Linked DNA regions of Drosophila melanogaster. The protein of the gene in region 1 purifies or fractionates together with the protein of each later gene. This does not show direct contact. Each region holds a gene or a part of one and is shown on either strand. Other genes may lie near its edges.

What was found.
Region 2: the proteins of ref(2)P (region 1) and Atg8a purify together in Drosophila melanogaster (affinity purification with western blotting; 2 studies listed by BioGRID). This does not show direct contact.

What each region holds. Positions count from the first base shown.
Region 1 is NT_033779.5:19,540,595-19,546,093, reverse strand, and holds ref(2)P (refractory to sigma P), read right to left. Parts: upstream 3,627-5,499; 5' UTR 3,278-3,626; coding exon 3,106-3,277; intron 2,475-3,105; coding exon 993-2,474; intron 938-992; coding exon 792-937; 3' UTR 546-791; downstream 1-545. Other genes in the region: CG10337 (uncharacterized protein), read left to right, coding at 1-289; CG13081 (uncharacterized protein), read right to left, coding at 4,751-4,805, 4,868-5,045, 5,101-5,401.
Region 2 is NC_004354.4:10,764,333-10,770,149, forward strand, and holds Atg8a (Autophagy-related 8a), read right to left. Parts: upstream 4,007-5,817; 5' UTR 3,739-4,006; coding exon 3,649-3,738; intron 2,975-3,648; exon of another isoform or gene 2,836-2,974; coding exon of another isoform or gene 2,821-2,835; intron 2,325-2,820; exon of another isoform or gene 2,046-2,324; coding exon of another isoform or gene 1,998-2,045; intron 1,471-1,997; coding exon 1,273-1,470; intron 1,204-1,272; coding exon 1,126-1,203; 3' UTR 546-1,125; downstream 1-545. Other genes in the region: BTBD9 (BTB (POZ) domain containing 9), read left to right, coding at 4,389-4,961, 5,016-5,654, 5,723-5,817.

The DNA of each region.
Region 1 (5,499 bases):
TCTTCCGCTGTATTTCATCAACAGTGGCTTCGCCTTGAAAATGCTTCATCGATTTTTCGGATTGTCCGGATTCCTCGTTCTGATGGTATCTCAAATGTTCGGATATAACACGGGATTCGGTCGGCGACAGTGGAAGGCACACCACCAGAAGCTCTTCAAATTTTTCACATTTATTGCCACCATTACGACTGCAAATTACGAACTCCGGAGATTTGTGCGAGATGTTGCCGGCTTGGCGACAGACTATTTTATTGGATCAGATGCAGCAGAAGCTAGAGAAGATCTTTGAGGCTCTTTCGACAAGCGAGTAGTGTTCACACTGGAATATCAATACTACAGGAAACGAATCGAATTCCGAAACACAGTATTGTGGATTTGTGTATCACTCAAGAAATAATTCGAGTGCTTTGCGGATTTGAACTCTGAAAAACCAGAATCGATTTATACCATACGTATAAACACATTATCTAAGTGGAGGAGGCTTTTGTTGTCTGTCAATCGTACTCTACTAAACAAAACCATATCAGGTATAAAGCAGGCATTTTAAATCATTTTACTTTGTGCCTTTATTGCAATTTCACACATACATATATATACGATAACATTTTGTTGATTATTTAAAACATAACATATATCTATTTTCACATTTATTTTGGCTACGAGATAAATCTAGCACCACAGAAAAACTAAGCTACGTAGTAAACTGATACGATAAAGTAAAATCCCTTTTTCATTGGGTTCTATAGATATTGAAGATACATTGTAGATATATCGATATTGAATATGAATATTTAGTTGCGGTTCTGCGATACGTTCATTACGTCCAAGGCAGCTGAGATATTGCCCTGAACCGACTCTAGGAGCTGGGTTAGCCAGGCGCCCTCGTTGCTGAAACCCATGGCCATCATGGCATGGATCGATTTATTGATGCTTTCATCTAATTAGGAGACATAATTAATACAAAGCGATTAGTTATTTAATTCGGCACTTACCAGTGTGGTAGACGGGGACCGTGCGCTTGTCGTCGGGAGCTGCTGGGGAGGTGCCGACGCTATTGGTGGTCACCGATGTGGTCGAGGTCGATGTACTCACCGTATCAACTTGAGCAGTCTGGGTGTTGGCCGAAGCCTGCTCCACGCGAGCCTCCTCATTCATGTGCTGACGCAATAGTTCGCCCAGCTGACCAAAATCACGCACCGGCTCCTGAGGAGCAGCAGTGGGATTGGTTGTGTCCAGATTGATCAAGTTACTATTGTTTGCAGAGTATGCATTGTCAATAAGCTGCCACTCTGGATCCAAGCTGTCTGAACGGCGTCTTTCCTGCTCTGTTTCGGTGGTGGTTTCCGATGGCTTAGGATTCAGGGGCTCTGTCTCAAGCTGAGCATCAGGGATCGAACCAGAAATTGATGGAGTGGCCGACTGGTTAGCAGATGGGACATTAGACTGATTAGCCGATGGAGCGGCAGAGGGAACAGCTGACTGGTTGGCCGAGGATGCCCCCGACTGGCCACTGGATTGACCCTGCTCTTCTGGTTTCTTATTCTCAGCACTGGGAGTCGTTGAGGGCGCAAAAATTCCCGAATCACCGCCCTCAGTGGTATCGATAATCTTGGAAAACATTTCGCTGAAGTTATTAAGGATTTCGATGCCAGCACTCATGTACTCGGGTGGCACAATCTGCGAAATGTTATCCAGATTAATCACTGGAGTAGTTGGCTGAGTGGAACGTGGAGTCGTCACTGGATCTTCGGTTCTAGGGACACTTTGATCAGTGTTAACCTTCTTCGGCTCAGTTGGTTTGGCCTCGGATTCAGCTGCCTTTTCAGCGGTAACAGTGGGCTCAGCTTGTGGAGGACTTTCAGTTTGTTCTGCAGCCTTCGGTTTCTGCGGTTCGGCTGGTGCCGTGGCCGTTGTTGTGTTCAGCGGCAAGTTGGTCATCATCTCGACAAACTGAGTCAAGACTCCGGCATGGCGGCGGGCCTGACGCCGTTCACGGCGACTATCCCTTGCGGGTTCGCCAGCAGGATCTGCCTGGTTCGTCTCCTGAAACGGGCAATGTCCCCTGGAGCGCCGGCCACTGCGGCGTCCCAATCCTGGACCTGTGAACCAGGCATCGACCATACCGGGTCCATTGTTGGTCGGCATGCGTAGCATCAAGTGCTCAGGATGCTTGTGAGCCAACTCGCATTTCTGGCAAAGATCATAGTTGCTGCACTGAACGCACTTGTAGCGGAACCCAATCAAGGGAGCCAAGCCGCAGCCATCGCATTCAACGGCGTCGTGGATGGTGAAATTGCTCGGATCGTCGACAGAAGGAGCTTCAGCGTTGGCCGAAGAACCCTCTTGCTTGGTGGCCTTTGGCTCCTCTACGGGCGCCAGTGGAGCCACCTGAACGTGCATATTGCTCTCGCACTTGGCCAGGAAAATCTCATAGTCATTTTGGTTGACTATTTCGATTTCATCTTTATCAGCGTCTGCAAAAGTTAGAATAGGCAAAGGAAAATAAAATCAATTATGAATCAGTGAAGTTTTGTTATCAAAGGTGAATCACTGAGGGCTCTAGTTAGACAAATTAGCTACAGTTGTGGTTGTACCAGCACAACCCGTTTGATCTATGTAAATGTATATGAGTACATGTACACATACTTTACAAATTAAAAAGCGCGTTAGATGTATTTAAAATATATATGTATAATTCGAGAATTCAGAAATATGTAAAATCAAAAATGTTTTGTATGTGTGCCATTTATGAAACAGTGCATCTAATATGTTGACCACGTTTGTACCATAAAAATATATATGTACATATTTATCAGCTAATGTGTCAACACAATTTTGCCAATGATAAGCATTGAGCAGGAATACTATCTAGGTGAATCCCTGCTTTGTTGGGCAAAGTACGCAATAATTTGGGCTGGTTTTTAAGTAACGAGACTTAAAAGCTAAATGGTCAGCACTGCTCGGACGGATGCAGTTATGTATGGAAACGAATGTACTTATACCATGCACATATGTTGCAATCTTTGCGACTCGATTGCAATTGCGAATAACTGTTTGTATGTATAGCAAACATTCACTCTGCGGCATTTTCATTGTAAAACTCACCGATCCAGAAGGTCCTTACGTCGCATTTGGGTAACTGGCGCTCCTGGAAAAGATACAGCTCGATTTCGCGACGCAATATGGTGTAATTCTGGGAGGGCATCCGCAGGTATGCATTTATCTTTTTCTGGGGTCCAGCGCCCTGGTAGGTGATTTTCAACAGCTTCTCCGGCATTTTCGCAACGTATTCTGTAGTTTCGACAGACTTTTGAATATATGTATGTATATATATCGATGCTGACGCTTTTATTCTCGTTTAACTTGTTGCGGCGAATTTATGTGACGGATTCTATTAATTTGGAGCTCTCGACTACTGCGTAGTTTTTGTTCGGCCGTTCGATTGTGTATACAAGTGCAGCTGGGTGAGAGCAGGTATATATACTAGGCGAACTAGTTGCTGGAAGGTTCTTGAATGAGTGAGGCTCAAATTGTTGCAAATCACGGTGCTGCCTGCTGGGCTGCACTAGTTAATCTATCCCCAAAATTGTATTGTAATGCCAAAGCTGGTCTTTGGCAAAGATTAATAATACTTCGGTTATCGATAATGAAAATATTTTTACGCGGCTCTATCGAACTCACCACTTTTAGTATTTTTACATTCACATTTTGCTTTACATAAAATTTCGCCAGAATATCGATATTTTTACCCATTAAAACTTCACACATACATACGTCAGTTTCTTATCGATATCGAAATCAGCAAACCCGAAATATTGAAAACCTAATCTAAAGATGGTTTTGTTTTATGAAACTTGGCAATCTAGGTAATCTAAAATGATGCCTCTGCGTTCGTAATTTTCTTCGGAACTATAAAAATGGGAGGCAATAAAACGGTCAATCTGAACTGGGGTAATTGGAGGTTTTTCAAGATGTTTTGAATTCCGTCGTAATGCATTCCCTAGTAATATTGATAGGTATCAAACTGGAGAAGGTGAAGGGTGATATTTATATCTAAAACATATAAAGGATGGCGTCCTAATCATTCAATCCTTCAAAGGATTGAACTTCCAAATCGCGAGGTTCACGTGAACATTATTTCCGAATATACATATATATCTTGATATCACACGAAATTGCCTTCACGAATCTTTACTGAATGAGACTGGATTTATTCGCGGTCTTAAAAGCTTTGAAAACAATGTCCTCATGGAAATTAATCAATCGATGATGAAAATCAAAACAGAAAAAAAACAGAAATCAATTGTCCGGGATCTAAAGAAAATAGGAATGAAAAGCATATGATTTCGGAGTTCTCAAATCGGACGATCTGCAGATATCCACTATTGGATGCCGAGTCTTGCTTGCAAATTAGCTCCGCTTTCGAGGATTCATCTCCAGACTGAGCTTTCTATTGGATTCCCAGAAAATTTTAATTTTTTTTATAAAGATAGTTGACACACTAAGTTAAAATAAAAAAAAAAAAACATCGTATGTCATGCTTTTCAATATTTATATATTTTGAATGGAAAAGTGATGGATGTTTAAAATACCAAGTACTGTACAGTGATTTTGAACTTTTTAAATATTGTTCAGTGGAACAGCACCAATGGGATCAACGGAAATTTAAATTCGAAGAATGATTTTATTTGCTATGTATTTTCCAAGAACTTAGGACTAATTTCTTGTCATAGTATCTAAAGATATCATTTTAGGCCTTAGAACTTTTGAGCATCTTAAGCAATTGGAGCAGTTGAGTTGGAGATCTGAGCAAAAACCATCTTTTAATTAGTTTCTAAGCAGAATTACATATTAGTGCTGTACTAACCGGCTGGCAGTTTGAGAAGCTACAATTTGATGTTGTCTGCTTTCCAAATTAATCTGGGCTAGCTCAGGAATCTTAGTTACGCCCTCGGTGGAACCAGAGTCTGTGTCGGTCTCAGGATCCCTCTCGTACATCTGAGTTGAATCTGGATCCGGTGTAGATTGGCGCAACAACATTTCACCTGGCGTGGAATTAGTGTTATGTCGGCAATTCGATTCTATTACAGTAGTACTCACTCAAGTAGGACTCTGCCATGGAGTAGAGCAAGCTGGAGCTCATTTGAGGCGCCATTCCGATGACGACCCCATCCACTTTGAACTGATAGTTCTCCCCACCCTTTTGCCGTTGGTCGTATAGAATGTCCTCGCGCTGAAAACCATTCTCGGAATAGTCGTCGTATAAGACGTCCAGCAAGTCGCTGATCACGTTCCTCGAATTCCCTGGCCTAGTCTTGCCGCCAACGGGCTGGGCCAGAATTCTTCCAAGTGCCACAAGCAGCAGGGCGAACACAAACAGCCGGTTGGTGAACTTGCACATGATGTTGCCCAAGCGAAAAGACCGCAGGACCGATGTGCTCCAATGGCGTGCGTTGAATGATTCCAAGTTCTCGGCCGCTGTGAAGGCGAGCCCACCTG
Region 2 (5,817 bases), on another chromosome or scaffold:
AAATATATCGCAATTTAATCGTACTTATTGTGTGGAGCTGTCCCTTTTTAGCACATGCTCTCCTTATGGCTGACTTGAGATATTGCTTTGCAGCACTTGATGGTGTGACCAGCTGTGTTTTGATGACAGTGCTGCCCATAAAAACGTTTGTGGGCGGCAATTTTGAATGGCTAGCAAAGTGCCTTTGCTGCGATAAGATAAGCAAACAATAAACAAAGTGATTTCTTTTCAATTTAATTTGCACACTTAAACTTTTGCGTTGCGAATGGTATCATAAGTACTACCTTTTACGCCTTCAATTTAAAATAAATAAATGCTTTTGTTACTAATAGCAAAGAATAAAAAAAAACACCCACTCATTGCTAAAGCTCATTTCATTTTTAAAAGATAAGGACTCATTGTTCGGTGAACAAAAGAAAAAGCAGTATAAAATAACTTCTTCCTGTCACTTATCGCTGAATCATCTAAGCGTGATATACGTGATTGCAAACTGAAAACGAAGAACAATCCAAATAAACAAACACCCTTTGCATGTGTATTTTTGTGGTTTTTGTTTATTTAATAATAGATTAATTACCGTACACTTAACCGAGAGAGTCCTATTCGTAACCATACACACTAAATATGCACAGAATTTTGTTGCATCGTGAATAAAAAAAAAAATAGTGAATTCATTGAAATATTAGCAAAGTAACAAAGTAAAGTACAAAGCATTCGCACGGATCAATTACAGCAATGGAAATTAAATGGCCCAGAAAGGGTGTGAATAGATCTGTTTTTTGTGGGGAAAGTTGGTTGGTTGGTTGTTTCGTTAATGGGTAGGACACAAAGCAGAGTTTAATTGAAATACTAACGCGTTTGGAAAATGTATATATATAAAATAATGTTCACATAACAATTGTTTTTGTAGTTTTCGGTTTTTGTGGATTTTTTTTGTTGCCCTGCGTATCAGATCAATTTCAAGTTCTTTTCATGTGGCATTTCCTGCGGTTTTCCTCAATTCGTTTAGCTAACTCGCCGTCCATATTGTAAGCTTGCATGCTAAACACAAAATATATTTTATTTATATATAGATTTCTGTATAGGGGGGGGGCTTCATTCCGATGCATCCCGACCGGAGCAAAGTTAGTTAATTTTGGCCATGCCGTAAACATTCTCATCGGAGTAGGCAATGTACAGGAAATAGTCCTCCTCGTGATGTTCCTATAAAAATACATCGAACGTATGTGATTCGATTGCAAGGCTAATAATAATGGGCATTGTGGTAATTACCTGGTACAGGGAGCCCATGGTAGCCGATGTTGGTGGAATGACGTTGTTCACAAAGAAGAAGAGGGCATCCTCGGGACGCAGGTGGATGCGCTTGCGAATGAGGAAGTAGAACTGACCGACGGTCAGGTCGGAAGGCACCAGGTACTTCTTCTTGTCCAAATCACCGATGCGCGCCTTGGGAGCCTTCTCGACGATGACCTTTGGGTTTAAATAGAAGAAGAAATACAGGAGGTGAGTTGTTGTTGCGGGCTACTTGTGCATGTTAATGTGCGCACATTTCGCACCTGATTACGTGCCCAATAAGGCTCACATATTTGGCTACAAATGGCATTTGCATTGCTGGAAGCAAGTGTGCTCGAATACGTGCTACCTTGGAATATGATAATGCCGAAAACATAAACTATAGTCTTATGAATTCTGATGCTTGCTATCTAGTGTACAAAATACCTTAATATTAATTGAAAACTAATTTGTTTACGAACAACTATACCTGATTGTTATTGGCCTGACTCATATTATATTTAGACAGGAAAATGAGTAATTTCGTAATTTCAGTCAGTAATTTCGTAATGCATTTTGGAATTTCGTAAGTTGGAATGTGTAATTACACACACGTGTGTTTTTGTTCACATATTATTTTTAAGCCAAATTCAATGCATTTTTCAAGGGGTATATGTTTTGTAATATAATTAAGATTTCTAGCACCTGTTTACATTCAAGTTCACCTGTATCATCTGTTTTTTTTTGTTCATTATGCAAAAACACATACACATTTTACAGCATTTTAGCCAAATTGATCACCAAGACGACCAAGTTGGTCATTGAAGTGAGCTTTGTAACGAATCTACTGCATTTCCTTGGCTCTGGAATAATTGCTAGCTGGCCTAGACTAGACGATCCGTTCTAGCCAGGGGCTCATTAGTTAGCCTTAGCCAAATTATTGGCAAACTGGTTTGTCCAATTTTTTTTTTTTGGAACAGGAAGCGGGTGCCAACATAGTGAATACGAAATGGGCAAAAACTGCTTGTCGCGAATGCCACCCCTCTATACACTAGTGTTCTATCGAAATTCGTTATCGTCATTGGCCGAACTCAAGGCACAAGTATGAGATGTGCTAGTACGTATGTATGTACTAAGTATATTCTATAGAATTCGGATATATATGGATATGCTGGTGGTCCGAGCGACCAGCTGGCCTTGCCCCTCGCTCAGCTGTTATGTGATTTGTGATTTGGCACTGCTGCACTTGCCAAAAAAAAAAAACACTAAAATAACACTGGCAATAATATTTCGGGGGTGCATATATAGCGCACATATGTACATATTTGTACATATATACATATGCATATGCAGTCCGAATCAAAATCGAAAACAAGAACTGCACTTTTCGCTGCGATTGGGGCACCTTCAGCAGTTTGTCGTTTCGTTTCGTTTGGTTTTGTTTTGGTTTTTGTGAAAGGAGTTTTCGCTGATAACGTGGTGAAATGCATACATACATAGCAGAAAAACAACAAAGAAGAAGCAGAAGATGTTTTTGTTTTTTTCAACCTTTCTGTTTTCCATTTTTTTTATTATTTTTGTTTTGTGTTCAGCAGCGCATCTATGACTAATTCCAGTCGCACTTTGTGTATTTGCGAAAAACAAAACAAGCAGCGCTAGTATAAGTGTGTATTAGTGAGTATTAGTGACTTTTTTTATGCGCAGTACTCGCTCGTTTTGCCAACAAACAAACGAAATTAAAATCGAAAACAACTGGTTGGTGCACACACAGAAAAAAAACGGGGTGGTCAAAACTTTGCTTGTAACTAAATTATGATGACAGATAGATATATGCGATTTTCTTGCTGTGTAGCCAGAGGGTGGGATAGAGGAGAGGAAGAGGTGGCACAGATGAAATCTAGCACTGAAAACAACAACATCACAACAGCTGAGCAAGTGAAACGGCTGCTTTGTTCTCTCCCTTTTTTTGCTTTTGTTTTTTCCTGTCGACATCTGTGTGCCTGTGTGCGCGTGTATGCGTGCGTATGTGTGTATGCAGGGGGCAGAATTTTCGTTTGAATTTCTTTTGAGAGCTTGTCGCCTGTTCCCCCCACCAGTAATGCAAAATGCACTTTATGCAATACCCATCGCACAAATTTCCCCAGCCACCTGATGTGCCAGTGCAATAATATTGTAATAACAATCGAAATACCCAATATGCGCAGTATTGATTTTCTTCGGTGCAAACACAAAAAAAAAGAGCGAGAAAAAAAACGACGCAAAACAAACGCATACACAGAAGCTCGCACATACACACACACTCGCACGCATATATACACACACACACACGTCTCTTTATACCTATATGCATTTATATATATATTTTTGAGTACTTACGGGCACACGGTCTGGATATTTGCGACGGATCTTGTCGCCCTCGGCGCGACGCTTCTCGAAGGCGTGCTCCTCCTTGTATTGGAACTTCATGATTGCAATGAAGAGGTAATTGGCTAAGAAACGCAGCTTCTATCACTTCGTTTGCTTTTGGGACTGTGCCGAATATCGATGCGTTGCTGAGCTTGTGTTTTTCTCTTCTCTGTTTTCTCGTACAAACGGTACGAAATACTTGTGTAGAGTGACCGTGCGCAGCAGTTGACAGAGCGCTTCGGTCTAAAAATCGATGACTTGCTGGTTTTATCGATAAGCACTCGCACTGTGGTGACTGCACTCGCTAACTGCTGTGGCTAGACTGACCGTGTGTGACCAGTGAGCGCGCAGAGACACCAACCCGAAACGCGCTAATAGTGGTGGCATATTAGACAGACACCATTTGGTTCATGTATTCGCTAAATGTTATCGGATGCAACCATGTGGTTCATGTGCTCGCTAGCAGACGGCTGTCGATATGGTTGTTGTACGCGTTAAATGGTATACACACCTACGGTCACACTGCACATATAACAGTTTTTCGCCGCAATAGAAGAATCCCTATTGTGCCATCGATATTATCGATATCACTAACTGTCATCGATGGATTGACGCAGCAGGCGAGACGAAACGTTAATTGTCAACTGTTCCCTCTGGCTGCTTACACACATAAATACACATCGCACGGAAGAAAAACAAAAAAGAGAAGGATGAGCAGCCAGGGACACCATAAGATGTCCGGCGGCGGCAAGAAGGGCGCCATGGAGCAGGACTACACCGACGTGGTCGATCTGGGCGATCGCTTCTCAGCGGACATGGCGCGCCTCTGCATGAACGAACAGTACGCGGACGTGGAGTTCATCGTCGAGGAGGAGCGCATACCCGCCCACCGCGTCATACTCGCGGCACGCAGCGAATACTTCCGGGCGCTGCTGTACGGCGGCATGGCGGAGACCACACAGCGCCAAATACCGCTTGAGGTGCCGCTGGAAGCGTTCAAGGTGCTGCTGCGCTACATTTACTCGGGCACACTGCTGCTGTCCACATTGGACGAGGATTCCACCATCGATGTGCTGGGCATGGCCAATCAGTATGGTTTCCAGGATCTGGAGATGGCCATATCGAATTATTTACGCCAGTATCTGGCCTTGGACAATGTCTGCATGATTCTTGATGCGGCGCGTCTATACAATCTAGAGGAACTCACCGAGGTTTGCCTAATGTTCATGGATCGCAATGCCGGCGACCTGCTGCTGCACAACAGCTTCAATACGCTATCCAAGGTAAGTTCACAACCAATTGGTAAAGTTGGCACTAAGAGTATGTAATGCTTACAGGAATCGCTGGAGGAGGTACTACGGCGTGACTGCTTCTTCGCCCCCGAGGTGCAGATCTTTTTGGCCGTGTGGAAGTGGAGCCGCTTCAATAGCAACGTGGACTTCAAGTCCGTGGTTAGTTATGTCCGCCTGCCACTGATGAACCTCGAGCATCTGCTGCAGGTGGTGCGTCCCTCGGGCATCCTGGATCCCGACAAGATTCTCGACGCCATCGACGAGCGCAGCACTTCAAAGGCGCTGCCCTACAGGGCGGCGCTCTGGCCGGAGGAAAACGTGGCCGCGGAGACGTTTTTGTCGCGCTGCATCCAGGGAGAGTGTCGCGACGCGCTGCTGGATGGAGATGTGACCACCTATGACATGGAGAACGGGTATACGCGCCACTGCATTACGGACAGCAAAGATGCGGGCATTGTGGTCGAATTGGGCACGTTCTGCATGATCAATCACATTCGCATGCTGCTCTGGGACAGAGACAGCCGGGCGTACTCCTACTACGTTGAGGTGTCCGGCGACCAGCAGCATTGGGATCGCGTGGTCGACTACAGCGACTACCACTGCCGCTCCTGGCAATACTTATACTTCGAAGCACGACCCGTCAGATTCATTCGACTGGTGGGCACCCAGAACACTGTAAACCGGGTAAGTCAGCAGTGATCTCTTCAAACTTTCCCCATTCTTTAACTTTTTCCCTTTCCATTAATATATAGGTATTCCATGTTGTGGGTCTGGAAGCCATGCACACGGCCAAGGTGCCGCGTTTAGTTAACCATTTTGTGGCGCCCAAGACGAACGTGGCCACCGT